Bombyx mori: one gene and its partner. The protein of the gene in region 2 interacts with the protein of the main gene of each other region in a biochemical or structural test. Links are inferred from orthologs where the notes say so. Each region holds a gene or a part of one and is shown on either strand. Other genes may lie near its edges.

Region 1 (11,474 bases), on a different chromosome or scaffold from region 2:
TCGATATACCTTGTCAGAAATCTACGATTTTTTTTCCGTGTTCGTTAGTCATCGAGTATGTAATGGTTGTTATTAATATTGTTTTAATGTGCTATTAAAGTGTAAGACAAAGATAGAGAGCTATAAAAATTACCTAATAGTTATTCCATTTTTTGATGTTCCAAAATATGTATTAATAATAAAAAGAGAGTCGCAAATTTTAATACACAATGAATTAGTATTTAGTTACATAGGCTCATGCAACTGCGTCACGCGCTACAAATGCCCAGTGTGCTTAGTGCGAGTTTTTTATTATAACGTTCTCGATAGCGTAAAAGTTAACCCAATTTTGTATGCAGTTGGCACAGCGCCCCTAGCGGCGAACGTAGGCAAACTATCTTATTCCATACAAATATGAGTTAACTTTTACGCTATCGAGAACGTTAACCCGATTGACTTCCACGGTGAAGGAATAACATTAAAAAAATTAAACCCGCAAAATTATAACTTACGTAATTACTGGTGGTAGGACCTCTTGTGAGTCCGCGCGGGTACCACTGCCCTGCCTATTTCTGCCGTGAAGCAGTAATCTGTTTCGGTCTGAAGGGTAGGGCAGCCGTTGTAACTATACTGAGATCTTAGAACTTATATCTCAAGGTGGGTGTCGCATTTACAGTGCAGCAGTGGATCCCATTCCATACAAATATGAGCTAACTTTTACGTTATCGAGAACGTTAAAAAACTCGCACTAAGCACACTGATACATTTTCCAAATTGCACCAAAAGGAGTGTTAACTTGAAAAATAGTTTATCCTATACCTACACGTGTTATTTTCTAATCGTGTAACTTCATAAAAAGCTAAAATCCTAAATAAAATCTTCATGTGAAGATTTGTTTTATTTTTTAAAAAAAATATTCGGTAAAGTTCAAGATTCAAGTATAGATTTAATTTTCAAAATTTTAATCAAGAAATATTTATAATAGTATTGTTTACCTTCAAGTACATGCTTGGTTGTAATAAAACCATAAAAGGTAATTCAGGTAATTTCAGATTATTCCCTTTAGCCCAGAGCCATTGTAACCATATTAGCACACGTTACATTCTTTACAACTAAAATTTTCTTTTCAAAAAGACCCATAATTTTTCATTGTAATTCTACTAACTACGTAATGATGTCTGTCATAGTGTTTAAACAAATTGTATAATTACGTGTTCCTTCTAGTGTGTTCTATAAAACTATTTTTTGTGTATTAATACTTAGTGGTGTTCTTAATATGTGCAATATTATATTTAAGACATAGAATGAAAAAAAATTATTGTTTTGTAAATAATAAAAATATATCTAAATTTTACAATTTATGTTGTGTTGTTTTTGTTATTATTGTTGACTAGCGACCCGCCCTCGCTTCGCTTCGGAAACTGTAATTTATTATTGATTTCTCCACTATTTAATGGATGTTATTATACATATAAACCTTCCTCTTCAATCACTCTATCTATTTAAAAAACCGCATCAAGCGCAACCGCGCGTTTTAAAGATTTAAGCATATATAGGGACAGAGAAAGCGACTTTGTTTTATACTGTGTAGTGATTATTAATTTCAGGTTTAGGGATGATCGATATTCATCGATGTTATGAGAATAAAATATCGAAACGTCCATAATATATCTTTTAGGGCCGTCTAACGGTGAATGTACTTTCTAGCTAGTGAGTTCCTAGGTAGTACAACTATTTTAAACTAGATGACACTGATTAACGCAATCGAAGCAAGCCGCACTACATAAATGTGTGTGAAAATAAGAAAATGTTAATTGTGAAGTGTGATGTCGGAGTCAAGTCCATTAATTAAACGCTTATAATCCGTAAAACGTAGTTTTAATTAATAAACACGCATAATAAATAAAATGGTTTTATTTCCTACCAAAAACATCGGTGTTTTTAAACATCGATATTTATCGTACATCGATACTTTTAAATCGATGTTTTTCTAATATCGAGCATCCCTATTCAGGATTATAAATGATTCATTCCGGAAGGGAGATACGCGCGGTCACTGTCCTCGTCGAACCCGTCGCTTGCAACGAAGGGCTCGACGAGCGAACTAACCCATAGACACAGCCCACTGAGTTTCTCGCCGGATCTTCTCAGTGGGTCGCGTTTCCGATCCGGTGGTAGATTCTGCGAAGCACTACTCTTGCTAGGGCCAGTGTTAGCAACACTCAGGTTTGAGCCTCGTGAGCTCACCTACATGTTACGGTGAAGAATAGCCTCTCAAGGCATCAGCATAGGTAGGAAAAAAAAGGAGATACGCGGATAGCGTCTCGCCTTTATAGCCTCCAGTGACCATATAGCGCTAGTAACTAAAAAGTTTAACACTAAAGCACTTACCATTTCGCCTGTTTACTCATCTACATAAACAAAAAACTGTTTATTTATCTATATATGAGTCGTCTATTATCAAAGGTGGCAATCTGTGCATTTGGACAAAAATTTTATTGATATTTCAATACAGATTGATTTGAATATAATCGTCTCCTTCAAAGAATACGGTTCAAAACCTGCATTAAATAAAGGTTAATACTTAACCTGTTATTTATCTAAGATGTCGTACAGAAGAGTTTTGTGACTGCCAATAATTCTTTTTTCTGATTTACCAATAATTATCCAAAAGTCACATTGCCGGCTTTGATAATAGTCGACTCATATAAGGTATTAATGTCACTAAAGGAGTAAATAATAATAATACCAGATGATTTGTATAAAACATGTTTTATTTTTATATTACATTTGAAACACGTTAGATTACAGAGTACCATTTATTATGATATTAAAGTTTTATTATCAATTGTCGTCTTCTTCGTCCGAAGCGCCGTTCTGTTGCGGTTCACCATCCATGTTAGCATCGCCCATACCTACGCAATAATTGTTATGTAGAATAGAAAAACCAGTGGTTATGTTTCTGAGCTGGGCATATAGTGTTACTTCGATCTAACATCTATACTAATATTATAAAGAGGAAAGATTTGTTTGTTTGTTTCGAATGGGCTCCGAAACTACTGGACCGATTTGAAAAATTCTTTTTCCATTAGAAGCCGACATTGTCCCTGATGAACATAGGCTACTTTTTAAAAAAAAATTTTAATTTTTTTTTTTTGGTTTCATTTGTGTTTTAATGTTTCCGAAGCGAAGCGAGGGCGGGTCGCTAGTTTATAGATAAAATTAAAAATTTCAAACTCTAATTACTTTAATAGTTGTCAATCTTTCGACAAGACTTTTAACACGGTTCACCGTCCATGTTAGCATCGCCCATACCTACACAATAATTATGTAGAAAAAGCGGTGGTTAGGTTTTGTTTCTGCGCTGGGCATATAGTATAATATACATCCATAACCCTGGAAAAGACATTTTATATTTATCATACAAACATCTTAACTTGGCGGGATTCGAACCCGCGATCCCCTTGTCTAGTGACCATGTCACTTACCACTACACCAGACAGTCTTTTTTTTCATTCGTTCATTCATTCATTCATATTTAGAAATACCTTGATCCTCGTCTTCCTCGGCCGAATCACCAGCGACTTCAGCGTTTTCAGCCTCAGCGCGTTCCATTTGTCGAGCCAACTCGGCCTCGTCTGTCGCTGTCACAACTTTAGGCTGTGGAAATGCTTATTGTACAGTAGTTATTTTTTTATTTTATTTATTAGGCACAAAATACACATCACAAGCTAAAAAAGTATATTAGTGAATGAGATCCAGTCACGTTTTTCTCAAGAAAGTAGCTGAAGTCGCTGTGGCCTGAAGGATAAGGACGCTCGATGCATTGGTATAGAGCGATGCAACAGTGTTCGAATCCCGCAGATAGGTATCAATTTTATTTTTTTTTGCCTATTCTAGCAACTTGATTTACTGAACTGGGTTATTCTAGATTCGCCGAACTAGTATCCGGAGGATCCGAAATCACGCGTAATGTTTCTAATGAAATACGTTCTTAATAAATCCTCACGATTGATTTCCACAACTGTTGTATTCTTTTTTATTGCTTAGTTGGGTGGACGAGCTCACAGCCCACCTGATGTTAACTGGTTACTGGAGCCTATAGACAACGTAAATGCGCCACCCACCTTGAGATATAAGTTCTAAGGTCTCAAGTATATCTACACTGTTGTACTGTAAAAGGCCTTAGAACTCATGTCTCAAGCTGAGTGGTGGTATTTAAGTTTTTGATGTCTATGGGCTCCGGTAACCACTTAAGACTAGGTAGGTCGAGGTCGTTCACCCATCTAAGCAATAAAAAATTACTCACGCGCCACCTATCGTTTGTTGGAGGTACTATATTGTATTGAACAAAAACTTTTTTGAGATGGAATTAATAACTATAGAGTTTCAAATAAATCAGACGGACCATATTCGCGCATTGAATACAAACTAACATAAGTACATATTTAATTTGATATATAAAAAAAAACATAGTTTATGTAATAAAATATCATACTGAACAGACAAGTTCAAAATTCACATACTATTAAATAGTTACTTGGCAGATGACTCGGAGGCTTTAATTCAAAATGTTTATTTATAAATTTAGCAATCTTTTTCATATTGAAACATATAGCTAAACCAATAAAGTTGTATAAATAGGAATTTGAGAATTTACCGCCATCTGAATGTTGAAGACTCCACCTGCTTCTGTGATGTTCTCTTGAATTTTGTCGATTGCGTCTTGTAATGCTTTGAGACCGTCAGTCTTCTCAGGAGTTGAGGTAGTCATTACTGTAAGAAACCTTAGTTAAATGATTATACTTTGCTTAGTGAGACATACAGTAATCAAGTTATGTAATAATTTTCGGTAGGCAGCGGCTTGGCTCTGTCCCTGGCATTGCTGAAGTCCATGAGCGACGGTAACCACTCACCATCAGGTGGGCCGTATGCTCGTCTGCCTACAAGGGCAATTCAGTTAAGAAAAAAAATCTTTAAATAGAGTTTTTCAAATTGTGAAATATATAGGCTCCGGTAAACACTTGACACTGGGTGAGCTCATTTATCCCTCTATACAATTAATGAAATTTAATAAAGAAATTTGTGTATACTAAAATTATACCTGCAGATTTCTACTATAAGTCTACCATTGTGGTTTGGAGTACATAATGACCAATATTTCTGTCCATCAATCATCTTCTTCTTGGACTTATCCTACAGTGTGATCAGAACATACTCTAAACTCCATACCCTTCTCTTGCATATTCTCTCAAATAGTCCATCCATCTTTCTAGGACATTCAAATCTTTTTAGGATGCGCTGTTATCATACACTATCATACACAAAGTATCTAGTGCAAATATATCTAAAAACGAAAATTAAATCAAACACTTACCATACAAAGGTGGGGCAATAAGATTAATTTTGATTGGCATGTCCACTGTAGACAGAGCTAGACCAGCTTTCAAAGCTGCTCGTACAGCATCAATGCCTTCATAACCATAGCAAGCACACTCAATGTCAGCACGAATCTTCACTGCTTGCGAGGTCAGTTTCCTTTTAATATTAGCTAAGAGGACATCCTTGGTTTCTTCATCTAAGCCACATTCATCGAGTACTGATGGGTCTCTGGAACATTAACATATTGCATAGAAACAACTTTCTTCTTGTTCCAATTAGGTAATATAGCACTTTTTATTTTGTGTATTAACATATTTCAATTTCACAAGATTAAGGTCAGTTCTTTTTCTCAAAATTAATGGTTCATAATATTTTCTTCAGTTTTCATAGTCATAGAGATAATTAAACTACCTAATTAGCCTACCTTCGGACTGGCAGCACAAATCTGTTAGACCAGGGGTTCCCAAACTTATTCTGTCTACTGCCCACTTTGAGAATTAATTATATTCTAGTGCCCCCGTTTTTTCATCTTCTTAAAAACCACTATAGAGAGAACTGAGTCTGTGTCTAAGAGTCCTCCTAGATGAAATTACAAATCACCTCCCAAGCCTCTACACACCCATTTTTTCTGGGTCTATTACCCTTTCGGCCTGCAGCGCTCACAAGGGGGCGTTATCGCCCACTTTGGGAAAGGCTGTGTTAGACAGTGCACTGAGCCACTGCAACACTCAAACTGTGTAAAGCTCAGTGTTTAGAGAAATTTGAGGGAAGGGTTACTCAAGGGTAACATATAGGAAGCCCTAGTAAATATATAAGTCACAAATACATAAGGTTGTGAGCAGCTGACTAGTACACAGTAATTCATGTCCTATTGAAGTGTGATAGTTTCTGAGTGCAGAGTGTGAGAGCTGAAGAAAGCAAAAGTAGTATTCATTCTACACTAAATTGACTTTTTGGTCCATTTGGACATAATGATAATTACACAAGCACCCTTTTTCTTTTTTTTTTCAGTCTGGGGGCCAAACCTCCTACGAAGCCCCCACAATTGGGGGTACATAAGCACCAACCTTATCATTTTAACTCAAGATGTACACTTACACAGCTGCTTGTTTGAAGAAGTCATATGCTGAGGCTTTCTTCTTATATTTCTCTTCAAAGTACCAAGCTGTTTTTTTATAAAGTTCTTCCAATTGCTCAGAAGTTTCATAATGGAGGAGCTCTGCTACATGTCGCAGGATCGAGTTTACTGCTTTTGCTTTTGCGTAGCGTTCTGTGCACTTGTATATATCTTCAGCAGATACACGACGTTTCGATAAGTCTATGTATCCTGTGAATTGAAGGAAATAACAAAATTAAAAGCGATCATTTGGAATATTGGTGATTGGTGCTAGTTTGTCATATCATATTTCAATTAAATGTGTACTTTGTTATTAATACAGAGAATGACATGTCAATATTAACCCATTGGCTTTGAGGACTGAGTGGATAAAACATTGATTTGATAAATTAGTTTATGACAATATTGGTTTGTTTAATTCCTGTTTTCCAAAGCACAAATGGTAATATTTTACTGAAGCGAAAAATGGAGTGCAATTTTATAAAAAAATTTATTATTATTTTAAACAATATCTAACCTTTTTCTTTGTCCACTCTGATTACGACAACCGGTTCAGTCTTTCCCACTCGGATCAATTTGTTAATGGATCTGATACGTCTTCTGGAAAGCTCAGATAGCAAGATCATGCCCTCTATATTATTGTATTCTAGAAGGTGGACGTATGCTCCCATCTCTGCGATGGATCTAACGTTCACCATCACCACATCTTCAACTTCCGGATATTTCTCTTGATAAAATCGACACGACAAAGGCATCTAGAATAATTTGATTTTATTATAACCTATGTGAAAAGTTTGTGTCACAAATTCTGGTATTTACTATTGAGAATATTTATAACCTATATGAAAACTTTGTGTCACAAATTCTGGTATTAATTATTGAGAATACAGTATTAATTTACCTTGTGTATTTATTTAATTCGTTTTTGTCTGTTAAATATTAGATAAAGAAAGAATATGATGAAACAGTCAACTTGTTCACGTTGACGAAATTCAGCGTTTGCTTCATGTCCTTCTGTCTGGGCTTGCGTTGTGTGACATCTGTCACAAATTAGAAAAAGTCAAAGTCTATTGTATCAACTTTGTTGAAATGTATTTGCGTGAAATGAAACGTAGCGGTAGTCGTGTCGTAAAGGTTGGGTGTTGGATGTTAAATACTAAGTGTATGATCCATTGTGTTGGTGTAGCGGGACTTGCAACAAAACCCGTTGACATATTTAAATTAGAATTTATTAATGTTCTCTGAAATTATCCGCTCAGCTCATATTCACCAGAAGTGGACTCAAGTTTAGGCCCGTAGAGGCAAGTTTAACGATGGCTAAAATGTAAAAAAGGGCATCTGATCGTAAAATATTGTATCAGGTCTCTTAAAAACCGTAATTGATGAATTTTTGGTCGAAGTTACGTTTAAAAAAGTTGGACTTTCATTAGTCATTATAACAATTGTATTGAATACATAATTAAATTACTGACCGACTTTCCTATTTCTGTTCAATAGAACAAAGTTTCCGCAATTGACTTTGAATATTCAATTGATCGTTATTGACTTGAACAATTTCAAATATATTTTTTAGTTGATGAAACGGGCGGTTCCTTTGGCCTACTTAGTGTTAGAGGTCAAGGGAGCCTCAAGGCACCCCAAAGTTACTGTTCCTGAGGTTTCTGGGCTCCAATAACGGCTTAATTATAAATGGACGTAGGTTCATTAGAGCATTAAAAATCCTTATGTGAGGTTTTATAAATAATAAAAGAAAATATTAAACGCACATATACTTGGCCTAATTCATTAAGCATACGTGCGTTATTTGTCACAACAATTAACATCAATTAAAACTCTTATGAACCTATCGCATTCCGCATACAATATGAAGATTACGTCTCGATTATTCCGGGAAGATAGCATATTTGTAAGCGTTCACGCATCCTTGACAATGTCATTTTACTATTGGCCATTTGCTAATTTACGCTGCAGCAAATTAGTATGGTCAGAAAAACAAATCTATAAACTATATGGATTTAATTTAGGTGTATAATAATAGTTATTCCAGTTCTGATCATGATGCGGAGAACTGTTTGAGATTTTTCTGTAATCTGTTTCTACAATCCCATAACCGGAGTAGTTAGACCGATTATTATTAGTATTTTACCGGTGGTAGGACCTCTTGTGAGTCCGCGCGAGCAGGTACCACCGCCCTGCCTATTTCTGCCGTGAAGCAATAATGCGTTTCGGTCTGAAGGATAGGGTAGCCGTTGTAACTATATTGAGATCTTAGAACTTATATCTCAAGGTGGGTGGCGCAATTACATTGTAGATGTCTATGGGCTCCAGTAACCACTTAAAAACAGGTGGGCTGTGAGCTCGTCCACCCATCTAAGCAATAAAAAAAATGGTTTCCAAAGATTGAGTACTCTGCCAGTACTGCCAGTCTCTGAAATGAACTTTGACTCTCGGTATTTCCTTTGCAATAGTTTATCACATTATTTATAAATGAATGTTTTAAAAACACCTTAGCGGTAGATGATGGTAATGAGGGGAGCTTAGTGAAATAGAGGAATTCACAGTATATTCGACTCGCTTTTTTCTGTTTTAGATGCAATCAGTGAAGTTTTATTTGTAGGCAGCGGCTTGACTCTGCCCCTGGCATTGCTGACGCCCATGAGCGACGGTAACCACTTACCATCAGCTGGGCCGTATCATCTGCCTACAAAGACAATAAAAAAAAAGTTTGAACACGAGCGCAAATCTATAAATTCCTATCTTCTTTTTCTATGAAATAATTCGAAATTAAATAACGCAACAAAATTTGTCGTATGTTTCATGTTAAACATCTTGCAATTGTAAGACATTAAAAACGCTGTCGAGTAGCGAATTAATTGAAATATATCACGGGGCGAACAAATCTTGGTGATAGTTCGATCAGTACGCGTCTTGTCCCCATACTTACTGTGCAACATTTAGCGAAATATGTTCATTTAACTAAATTAAAATGTATTTCTGGTAAGTTCAGCCATATTCTTTGCTTATAAGATATTGTATAGCGTATTCTTAATGTATTATGTTCTGAACGTCTCTTCCTTCTTCCAATAAATGTAAAAAAAAGAGTGAATTAATTTGTTTGGATTAGACCTAGTGTATAAAATCACGCATACATATTTTCTTCAAGTTGATTATAATTACAACAAACTTATCAGACAACAGTATTCTTTATCAAAAATATTTTAGGGTTCGAAAATACTGTGATTGTATTATATGAAATTTTTAATAAATATAAAATAGAATTATCTATGACAGTAAAATATCGTTTCGCGCCTTTTTTGTTATTGCTATTAAAAGTATGGTTACCTTACGTTACAACATGTTAAATATACTACACTATACTGTTTATTATAGTTACATTAGCATTATATTTACCGAGAATGAATCTGAATGATACAATTTGTGAAGAACTAATTATATGAATCACATTGTAAAGTTGAAATTCATAATTTAACCGTTTTACATTTCGTTACATTGTCTCTTGAAATTACGTAGTTTTCCTTGATTACTCACTCACTTAATAATTATTACAGCTGTAAAAGCTGAATTCATTGAGCGACCACTTCTCTGACGTTTTTAGTAATTTGTGTTTTTCTGGACGTGATTGTGAGTAATGTATTAATTGCTGAGCCATTTGATTTAAGCCGTCAGAGACCTAATTATAGACGATATGTACACCATGATAATATACGTGAAATATACGATTATCGAATAAATAGTCGAAGGTCCTATTGCGAATTGCAATGTGGAATGTTTCGAATTAAATTATCTCTTGATAAGAAAAGCGCAAATTGTATTTTACGGTTATGAAAGCACTCTCAATAATAGCAACAGTCTTCGTTTTCGAAATTCGGCTTGAATACTGTGTGGTAACGTTTGAACGAAGATTTAACCGCCACAAAACAGATACACATGAAAATATAGGCGGCCATATTGTTTCCGTCTTGTAAAAGAAATCTCAAATTTTATTACATAACTTTACGTTACTTTTTTATAATATAATACTTTTATTAAAGTTTAAATTTATGTAGTTACTATTGTATAATGATTTTGATAAATTAAAATCTATGGTAATAAGTTCTAATGAATATTAGAATACAAGGAGGAGCTTTAGTTTCTTTAATAGAATAAAAACTTTGTATGGACGGTTTCGTCATAATATCAACTGCAAAATATTCTCTACCTACTTAATAAATCAAATTTTAATAAATACAAAACAACCAGTCCTTCGTTCTTTTTTGTAAACATACACATCAAATTGGCCATCAAATCGATTGACTGTTGTACAAAAGTTCATCGTTGTTCGCACGTGAGCTGTGAAACGAAGCGATATAAAAAAATAATAATTTGGATTGTTTAAAATGCTTTGAATTACAAACATAAACGAAGTGTAATGAAACTTTTAAAACGTCTTTCATAACGAAGGAACAAATCGAATTGTTGGTGAGTGGTCGCTACCGCTCATGGACATCAGCGATGCCAGAGACAAAACATCTAACAGCTAATTTATAAAAAAAAAATAGGACGTGAACTTTCACATCGGCGAATAATCGATATCATATTTGCAAACTACCGCCGATATTAATGTTTTGTGATACTAAGTAAATGAATGCTGCCGATAAGAGATTGCTAAGGTTCATTATCATCCATACACATCCCACAGACATCCACTGCTGGACATAGTTTTCCCTAAAGTTCACCATAATGACTGGTTCTGCGCATCCTGTGGATTCCTACGACTTCTAACAAACCATCGATCCACCTCGTGGAAGGCTAAGGTTAAAATAGGTTATATTAAGAAGCTCTTCAATAAGGACTCTTCAATAAAGAGGAAGGATTTTAATACATTAATATTAAAAAGATATATTGTGTTGTTGACTAATGTTATCTTTCTCCGAAGCTAATTTAGCGGCTTTCTGAGGAGTAGATCGTAGTTTAATTAGTCATGTTATGATTAATC
Region 2 (10,265 bases):
ACATCTGAGAAAAGCTTTAACCGGCCAACCCCTAGAATTTCATCACGAAATTTCTGCTTATAAGTTTTCTTTTTTTCGGCGTAGTGCCTTCGTCGTCGCTTCCACGAGCCGACATTTTTAATGATATGTAACGGACGTCACGTCAGCTGGCATGCCCTGCCGCCAGCCAAGCCGCCAAGCCATGTTATAAGTTTATTGCACTTGGCTGAATTCAGACGTTAGAATTCAGAAGCAAATTTAGAAGCTTCTGGTTACACTATTCTAAATTCAGTTACTGAATCAATTGTCAGTTTAAACGCGACGAAGTAAGACGTGTCGTGTGCGTAAGAGGATGGCCCCAGTATTGTTAAACAACAATTTTTTTGTTTTTGTTTTTATGTTTTTTTTCAATTTCTCAAAATAAAAAGAAATAAAAACAAGAATATCGGTGAAGAAATATTTATTGCTGTGCGGAGTGTTAGCAAATATGAACATTATGAGTGATTTAGAACCAGCAGACTTCAGAAAATATCTATAAATGGATTCGATCTCGTTTGACCTAATATTAAACCTTGTGACACCGTTTATTCAAAAGCAGAGTACTATCCTACGATCGTCTATTATATATCTATTACATATTTAATTCTACGATAGTATAAGTCCAAAAGAAAGATTGGTTGTAACATTAAGATTTCTTGCAACAGGAAATTCGTATACTTAAAGATTTAAAATTTAGTTCTTCAATATCCCAACCCCTGAACAATAATAAGACAAATCATGGGTGTGGGGCCGTGAACAAAACGAGAGTTTCGAACAACTGGAAAACCGTTATGCGCCAAACCTACGCTAGCTTTGTATGATCCTATGCTTTCTATGGAAATACATACCGATGAGTGTATATTAGGAATTGCTAATATGCTATTACAAAAACAAACTGACAACTCTACTTCTGAGGTTATAAAAACTTCACATTAAGGCCCTATAAAAGTATAGCCCATATGTCCGATAGCGCTAGTAGTTCCGATGAGCAGCTCGAAACTGAAGACCTTATTGATTTATTATTATTATTATTATTATTTTTTATTGCTTAGATGGATGGATGAGCTCACAGCCCACCTGATGTTAAGTGGTTACTGGAACCCATAGACATCTACAACGTAAATGCGCCACCCACCTCGAGATATAAGTTCTAAGGTCTCAGTATACTTACAACGGCTACCCCACTCTTCGAACCGAAACGCATTACTGCTTCACGGCGGAAACAGGCGGGGTGGTGGTACCTACCCATGCGGACTCCCAAGAGGTCCGACCACCAGTGATTACGCAAATTATAATTTTGCGGGTTTGATTTTTATTACACGATGTTATTCCTTCACCGTGGAAGTCAGTCGTGAACATTTGTCGAGTACGTATTTCATTAGAAAAATTGGTACCCGCCTGCGGGATTCGAACACCGGTGCATTGCTTCATACGAATGCACCGGACGTCTTATCCTTTAGGCCACGACGACTTTTAGAGAGCTAAATGTTTTTGTGTGTTCCCCATTGCGGGAGCAATTGTTGCAGGATAGCCGAATGTAACGGACGTGACGTCAGCTGTCATGCCCTGCCGCCAGCTAAGCCGCCAAGCCATGTTAACACTCCCCCTTCTGCGCCACTGCCGCTAGCCAAAGCCAACGAAGGGGGGATAGTGTTAATAAAACAAGCCATGCCGGCCATTTCTACCTGCTTTCTGCTTTCTTGCACAAATAAAAGAACTTGTCGTTACGCTGCTGGTTTTTTTTGTCACATCATTTGCAACAGATAATTTTAAAAGTTATAAGTACTAATTATAATACAATTAATCCGAACAATCTAGCCACTGTTTCAAAATGAGCACTTTAATGTAACGTTATAAACTTACTTACTACTATCCGCAACATTACAAGGGTAACATACAGTAAACAAAGAATATGCTAAATGTAATCATCTCAATTTTGTCAAATAATAGTTATTTATAATCTATTCCCCGTTCTGTGGGAATTCCCCGGCCCAAGAGGTAGGTAATGCTTGAATAATAACACAGTGCAGTTCGTTTCACGCAATTAATGGTGAATCTTCTTTTCGGTGGTTAATATTAAAAGTAACTAGTTACCTTTACTAACATTAACTGCATTGTTCACCATAGATAATAGTACCTACACTATATTTAATGTTAGTTCACTTTGATGTACATACCTTGAAATTATGGCTTGAGATGCCCTGTATCAGTTAATATACTATATATAGGTCTACGGGTAATACTGATCAAAAAACTGAAAGGACAAATAGTGTTGTCTATAAATGTCTCTAATTTAATCTATAAAAGGTCATTTTATTTCTCATTCTATTATCTTAACTTCTTATCACTTGTTTATTCGAAACTTTAAATAGGTATTTAGTTATCGCAATACTTACGAATTTAAGGAAGATTTTTTTAACCCGACCAATTTCACATCTTAGTTCATTGGATTCGTTTGAAATCAAAATCGAAGTGGCAGTGCAAATTTCAAACCACATTCATCATTCTTCAACTACTTTCAACATTACATAGTGCAGATGTACCTAAAATAGTGCAGACAAGTTACTCTATCGAATAATTAAAACGCTATACAGTGTTACCCTTATCTAGTAAATATCTTTTATATATTGTGTACCGGACTGGTACATAATTATAGGGAACTTAAAACTGGTAAATTGTTTATCTGTTACTCTAGTGATTTAAAATTGTAAAAAAGATTAAAAAGAAGAATAAGGGGAACAATTAACTTACAAAGAAATGGCTTCTGCAGAACTCACAAGTTTGGATGAAGTAATATCAAATTCATTAAAGGGTAAAGAACTAGAAGAGTTTAATAGAATTCACTATGGAAGAATAGACCAATGTGCTTTGTTTATCAGTTCCGTTGCTGCCCAAAAAGCCGCTAGCAATGGATTTGAAATAAAAGCTTATGATTTTCCTGCAAGAAAAGAAGAATGCAGGAAACCTCGCATTGTAAGATTAGGCCTCATACAACATTCTATTGCTATCTCTACTGATAACCCAATTACTCAACAACGACTAGCTATATTCGAAAAGGTTCAAAAGATCATATCTGCTGCAGCTGCAGAGCAAGTTAATATTCTTTGTTTACAAGAAGCTTGGAACATGCCCTTTGCATTTTGTACAAGAGAAAAGCAACCATGGTGTGACTTTGCAGAACCTGTGTTGACTGGCCCTAGCACAGTTTTTTTAGCAGAGCTTGCAGTGAAGTATGACATGGTTATCATATCTCCAATTTTAGAACGAGATGATATTCATGGAGATACTATTTGGAATACAGCAGTAGTTATCAATGAATTTGGAAAGGTAATAGGAAAACACCGTAAAAACCACATTCCAAGGGTTGGAGATTTCAATGAATCTACATATTATTTTGAAGGTAATACTGGTCATCCAGTATTTGAAACAAAATATGGTAAAGTTGCCATCAATATTTGCTATGGTCGTCACCATCCACTAAACTGGCTAATGTTTGGTATCAATGGTGCTGAAATTGTATTTAACCCATCAGCAACAGTTTCAGGTTTAAGTGAACATTTGTGGGCAGTTGAAGCTCGCAATGCAGCTATAGCCAACAGTTATTATACATGTGCTATAAACAGAGTAGGAACTGAATCATTCCCAAATGAATTTACATCTGGAGATGGAAAACCAGCACATAAAGATTTTGGACACTTCTATGGTTCTAGCTATGTGACAGCACCTGATGGTAGCAGAACTCCAGGCCTGTCTCGAATTAAGGATGGTTTACTTATTGCCCAAGTTGATCTAAACTTGTGTCGCCAAATTAAAGACAAGTGGGGATTCACTATGACTCAACGCCTTGACTTATATGCTCAAAGTCTAAATGAAGCTATAAAGCATGATTATGTACCTCAAGTGGTACACAAGTAATAAAGATTCAATTTACCAATCATGAATCCTACAATTTTATTATAGTGTTACTGAACAGATCTGTTAATATTGTTAATTCTGCTAAATTTAAACTCTGTTTTAGTCTACTTTAATTTTTAGACATAATTGGTGTTTCACTGCATTACAGACTTTAATAAAGATTGTTAATTGTTAGAAAATGTTTTATTATATGCAATAGATTAAAATAAAACAATATTTTATAAAACATTGTGTATCAATGAGAATAATACAGATGTGAGTTATACATAAATATAGGGATTCAATTGGGACACATTTGATAAAAATAAATATGTATTTCACATTGTGTTGTCAACACCTGGGTTACTGTACTATGTTTATTGAAACTGAGGACCACAACATGTGCTGAATTCATTTGAAATTGCCTAATTTGTTTATTATTAATTACTACAATAATGCTTAGCTTGTCATGTTGGCTGAGGTTGACAGATATAAAAACACAATCTACTATTAAAAATTACCACATGTACCCCAAACCATTACTGTAAAATTAGTTAATCACTAAGCACTAATTTTCTATGCAGTCTTTGCACGGATGGCAGCACGCTTGCCAGTCACAGCTTGGAAACCAGATTTAATGCTAGCCACTGAACAACGAGACCCACATGTCTCACATTGAAGGAAGAATAATCTAGTATCTTTCTGTAAAATTGTATCAGGGGAGCGGCATGTATGACATGTTACATACTCTTTTATATACCGACGTAAAACATTCTCTATCTGTTTTTGTTGGAAGCGACCTTTGATAATTAGTTGACTGTTTCCATCCACTGAACCACTAGTACCCAATTCCGCCAGAAGAAAATCCAACAAATGCTTGGCCTGCCGATGCAAAGTTTTACAAATTTCCGTAAAATTGGCAAAGGAGGTTTTCTTTGTACCAATTCGGACTACTTGGGGTGGTCTCATTATGAACTTTTGCTTTTTACCAGATACCATGCTTGGGTTCTTTTCCCGCATAATATCAAAAACTCGTTCTAGAAGTTCGTCATATGAGTAATCATGATCACTTCCAACCCATTCACCGTGCTCATCTTCCACATTTTCTTGATCTTCTCCTCTGACATCTTCTTCTGTGACCAGTTCATCTACATTTTTATCCTTCTTCCTCTTTTTCTTTTTCGTCTTAGTGAAATCTATATCCAAATCTAGATCATCCATTACTTCGTCTTCCTGCGCTTCCGGTTCTTCGGTTGGCGGTGTTTCAGGCAAGGCATTTTCTAATTCTCCGAGATTGAAAAACGTCTTCTTCTTTTTCTTTTTCTTTTTGCCAAAATTGTCTAAATCGAGGTTATCGTCTTCGGGCGCGTCGACGTCACCTGTATCTGCGGGTGTCTCCATACTCGTGCTCTCACCTTGCTCACCAGCAAGAGCAGCTTCTAAATCAAAACCAGTCTTCTTTTTCTTTTTCTTCTTCAACGAAGGATCAAATATCATATCGTCGTCCATGTTTACTAAAAGGCGTTGTTCTCGTAAAGGAAACTAAATTTTTGGTTAGAATATGAGACGATTGAGCAGTATTGTAGAAGGCTAATGTCAAAATAATGTCAAAAAGTTGCATCAGATTCGTCGTTCAAAAATGTACCGTACCGTAATTTTTTTTTCTCTCGCAATTACTGACGTCTATGATATCTAGGCTTCTTTTAGTAGTCGTGTCTATACATAAACTAATATTTTGTATGGAGGGATGGCAACCGGGGATTGAGTCAGCTGACCAATAAATCATATTTAGATAGTAGAAAATCAAGATTCTATTAGAATGCAAGCATAAAATATTTACAATTATTTTTGATTCTGGTGCTTTACTCGTAAAGTACTATAAAATCTACTGGAGCATTGAGTTGATTTGTGGCTAAAGTCGCAACAGGAGAGAAGCAGGGCGGAGCTTAGAGTATATCATTTTGGAAGGTAGATTTTTTTCCTTCCGGAAAGAGTGAGTCACCTCTCCTACTTATGGAAAGTAGAAGAGGTGACTCAACCCAAATGACTATCACATTCATGAAACTGAATTAATTAATTATCAATATCGCACAAATAAGAACAAAACGTTAAAGAACTGTTTGTGATATATTTGATGATTTGATTTAAATGATGTATTATTTCTAAACTTTCAATGTAAAATAAAACAATTGAGTACCTTAAGACGATCTTAAACATTTAGCATTGAGTACCGTACTGTTTAGGTACTACTCTCAAATAAAGAGAATACATAAAAATTGTTCTAATTCTCAAAGAGTTTAGAGTTTAGAGCATAGATTATACATTTAATATGTTTAGAGATGATTTAGTCTGTATTACTGTGTATATCTGTCAAAGTCTCAAAAAGTCAGTCAAAGTCAAAGTCAAATTAACCTAAAATTAGTCAAAACGTCTAGTTTCCAAAAATAAAATAAGCAAATCAATTACCAATTTCATACTTTAAAAAAAATTAAATATAATTAAAAATTAAAAATAATTAAATTTTTATCGCCACTTTCTCTTAGGAGATATCTACATAAACTAAGAAACAAATAACTCAATAGGAATTCTGATTTATGGGTATATCGAATTGCAATTCGATATGCATATAATTAAATTACACCGATCATTATTGAAAATAAAGAATGCCATTCCAAGATACTCTACTATTACGGCTCTTGAAGAAAGTGAATACACCGAGACACCGGAGTATCCCCCTATACTGGATATGACTCGGGAAGGAAAATTATTGCGTCGAAGACAAAGTTTTCAAAGCAAAATACAAGAACTAAACACGATAGAAGAGAAACAAATAGCCTTAAATATGCCTCGTTATTATGGATGGCAGTGTATAATGTTGAACAATGATAAAGTTCCGTACAACGCAATGCCCTTAGTACAGTATTATACTAGGAGTCATTTCATACCGGTCGCTAAACTTCCGGAAGCATACAATGAAATCGAACAACAAGCTAGTAATATTCTTCAAGAAATCAAACCACAAATAGAAGATGCCATAGCTATTGAATTAACTGATGTTGAGTAAGTAATTGAAATTAGTTTAAAGTATAATTGTCAATTTACGCAATTGGAAAGAAACATGACATTGATTACACAAAAATATTTAGTTGGTTTGGTTTGGTTAAACTAAAATGCCTACTTGATATTGACTACTTGATACCTTCACAACAAGATCAAATGTGTGTTGTTTGATTAATTTATAAACCTAGATACAAGCTTAAGTTTATTATTAATTTATCAAGCATTTAAAAAAAATTTCAGGAGGAACTTCAAATTCTTACAAGATAAATCTATAAAAATGCAACAAGAAGATACAATTACAAAATGTGTTGTGAGACAAATAAACAGAATTATAATGAACAATCTCAGTGATAACTTGCCTCATATTTTGTCAACACAGGTATTTGATTTAATAATTACTTAGCATACATGGAAACTTTAGACCAAGGCGACATATCAAGGATAACAAATTATTGTTATCCTAGTCTATACTAGGATAACAATAATTTTATGGGTAACTTTTTATAAGTAAAGGTTATGTTATGAGCATGTTAAAACATGCTCCTATAATTACAACTACTGTCAGAGAGATAAAATTTTTCTAATGTATATTTGTTCAGAATGACATTATACACCGTCCACAGGGACAGATGTGGCAAATTTAATTAATATTTAATTGAAACATGCTTTATCAATAGTATATTTAACAATCCTTCAATTTTTTCTTCAATTTTCCATATCAAAAGAGAATATTATAAAACAAAAATCTCCAAATCACTTTACCAATGATATCTATTGTATGGTATATTGTCTGTTACGTAATTTGAGATTGTGTATTGTAATAAGATTCTTAGAATATATAGTAGGCAAATGAGCAGTTTTGAGTAAATAAGCATCTCCAAATTTCATAATACTTTTAGCAAAAACCGTGTATAGTTGGGGATAATGAATTGAGAGCTTATGGAAATTCTTGGACTATTGTTATACTTTTCCTCCAGCATCCTTGAATCCATTCTAAACTACCTATTTGATTTTACCTACCTGTTTTTTTTTTATTCTAAGAAATACTTATATAATTTAAAAAAAAGTCTGAAATAGTTTGAAATCTATGATCTTGCTATTTTACTATGCATAGCTGGCAATATATTCTTAATTAAAATGAGGAACTGGATACTATAATGGACAAGCTCAAGTCTAGCATAATTGATTACATGTATTGCCAATGTAAATTTACTAAGTTTTTTTTATTAATGAATGTCATTGTAGACAGATGAGCAAATGCACCATACAGTGAGTGGTTACCATCGCTCATGAAAGTCAGCAGTGTGGGGCCATTGCCAAGCTGTTGCCTTCTGATACTATAAATATATAAAGAATGCAATATCAACTGATTCTAGCTGTGCAAGTTGATTATCCAGTTAATTGCTGTTCTATTCACATGATGTTTTTAAGTTATTTTTCAATGCTGGAGAAATTTGTTTTGTCTAATGCCAGTTCTAGATCATTGAAGGTATTTGATTTTATCTTGAATTGTCCTCTTTTTTTCTTGAAATGTGAATTTTATTTTTTTACAATAATTTGCATATATCTATAAGGTATTTTTCTGTCATTTGCGAAATTAATTCATTTCTTTAACTATGAAGTGATAGGAAATGTTATTCATGGACGTACGGTTCTTACTGTAATTCAGACCTGCCATATCTACTTCTGCCGTTCAGCAGTTCTGCATTATGCTCTAGAAAATAGGTGACCATTAACACAGCTTAAACAATCATAATTATTATTTATTACAGATTGATTATGATGCTCGTCATGAAGCATTTTGGCATATTGGTGGTGTTGATCCCCCGACCACAACAGTAAAATGGCGAAAAGAAAATAAATGGCCAAAAAGTACACATTATGAAAGTACAGATAGGCCTGTGCAATATATTGGTAAGAATAAAAAAAATTCAATAGCAACGTAAAAATTAAATAACAATTAAAACTTGATCACATACTTTAATTCAAAGGTAAAAGTGTAATAGTTTTTTTGTTTGCCTATCAAAGCGTAACAGATCAACTTAACTATTTTATGCAGAGTTCCATGTGCTACAAAGCTAGTAGCAAAGCTACCACATCTGCAAGGCACTAGCTACTCTTGACTTGTTAACTGTCCTTTGGAGCTCTGAGCTCGGGCGGCTGTTACTAAATCCCGCCTCTCCTGGCTGAGCCTTTCCTCACTCACCTGTCCTAGTGAAACTGGAAAGGCCACCAGTAATCCCTCATTCATAAAAAAGCAAAGCTGTATGTACATAGCATATTACTATACTATGTACTGTATAATAAGATTTCATTCCAGACAATTATTTCATTACTTTGTTTTATAGCTTTGTATTATCAAATTCTTGATACCAATTGCCAAAGTTATAAGAACACTTAGTATTTAAATATTTAAAAATTATATTTATTAATATGACTTTTATGTTTCTGCGTCTACCTATAAATAGTGGTCACTGACTACTTACCGTTAGGTGGTCTATAGACCATAATGAGGGTTTACGACCTTCGGTATTAAGGGAACGGGTGACGCTCATTTTAATGATATGAGATGAGTAGTATTATAATTTCACCTAAAGTACTATTAAAATTTATTTAAAAAGCTAATGACTAGACAAAAATAATTGAATTACCTAATTTTCAAACTAGGGTCACCAATACTAACTCTGAGAAATCGCCACCCACTAAAGCCGCTGATCCCATATAGTGAAGCAGAGAATCCGGCATTCAAAGTTGATAAGTTTACTACTATACCTGGCAGTGTTGGTTACTTTCGTGAATTTCGTCATGGAACTAATATACCAGGTACGTTCTTAATTTCGTTATCTAAATGTGCGATTAAGTAATCTTTAATTAGGATTATCAAAATTATTGTAGGATCTTTATTTAATTATGTTCAATTAATGGAGAAACTTCTTTTTTGTTTTTTTTTCATATTTTTATTGTCTTTGTAAACAGACGATCGTAAGGCCCACCTGATGGTGTGTGGTTCGGTAATAGACGTCAGCAATGCCAAGGGAACAGCCGAGTCTTTGCCTTGGCATTAGCTCTCGGATTCGACCTGGAGCGGCGTTAAATTTCCGCCTTTCCTCTGTAATGTTAGGATTACTGGCTTTATTAAGTCTCCAAGAACCACCACCTCCACAGATGGGTACTGCTGAAGTACGTGGTAAGTCCCCTCTTGTACATGCTCCAATAGAGTTGAATGTACAGGCAAGCGTATATTCGGGTACATACGTTATAGTCTACATGCATCAACAAGAGTTCAGGACCTA

The links.
Region 1: the proteins of eukaryotic translation initiation factor 2 subunit 2 (region 2) and eukaryotic translation initiation factor 2 alpha subunit form a complex in vitro, tested with the Homo sapiens proteins (2 studies listed by BioGRID and IntAct). The link is inferred for Bombyx mori from reciprocal best matches to the Homo sapiens genes EIF2S2 and EIF2S1.

What each region holds. Positions count from the first base shown.
Region 1 is NC_085126.1:6,525,816-6,537,289, forward strand, and holds eukaryotic translation initiation factor 2 alpha subunit, read right to left. Parts: upstream 7,542-11,474; 5' UTR 7,380-7,541; intron 7,234-7,379; coding exon 6,996-7,233; intron 6,689-6,995; coding exon 6,460-6,688; intron 5,590-6,459; coding exon 5,357-5,589; intron 4,756-5,356; coding exon 4,640-4,755; intron 3,640-4,639; coding exon 3,528-3,639; intron 3,295-3,527; coding exon of another isoform or gene 3,257-3,294; exon of another isoform or gene 2,895-3,256; coding exon 2,824-2,894; 3' UTR 2,736-2,823; downstream 1-2,735. Other genes in the region: collagen alpha-1(IX) chain, read left to right, coding at 9,465-9,475. UniProt on the Homo sapiens protein: Member of the eIF2 complex that functions in the early steps of protein synthesis by forming a ternary complex with GTP and initiator tRNA. This complex binds to a 40S ribosomal subunit, followed by mRNA binding to form a 43S pre-initiation complex (43S PIC).
Region 2 is NC_085127.1:8,435,727-8,445,991, forward strand, and holds eukaryotic translation initiation factor 2 subunit 2, read right to left. Parts: upstream 5,489-10,265; 5' UTR 5,422-5,488; coding exon 4,489-5,421; 3' UTR 4,443-4,488; downstream 1-4,442. Other genes in the region: beta-ureidopropionase, read left to right, coding at 2,776-3,933; large ribosomal subunit protein mL65, read left to right, coding at 6,533-6,972, 7,213-7,351, 8,745-8,886, 9,640-9,795.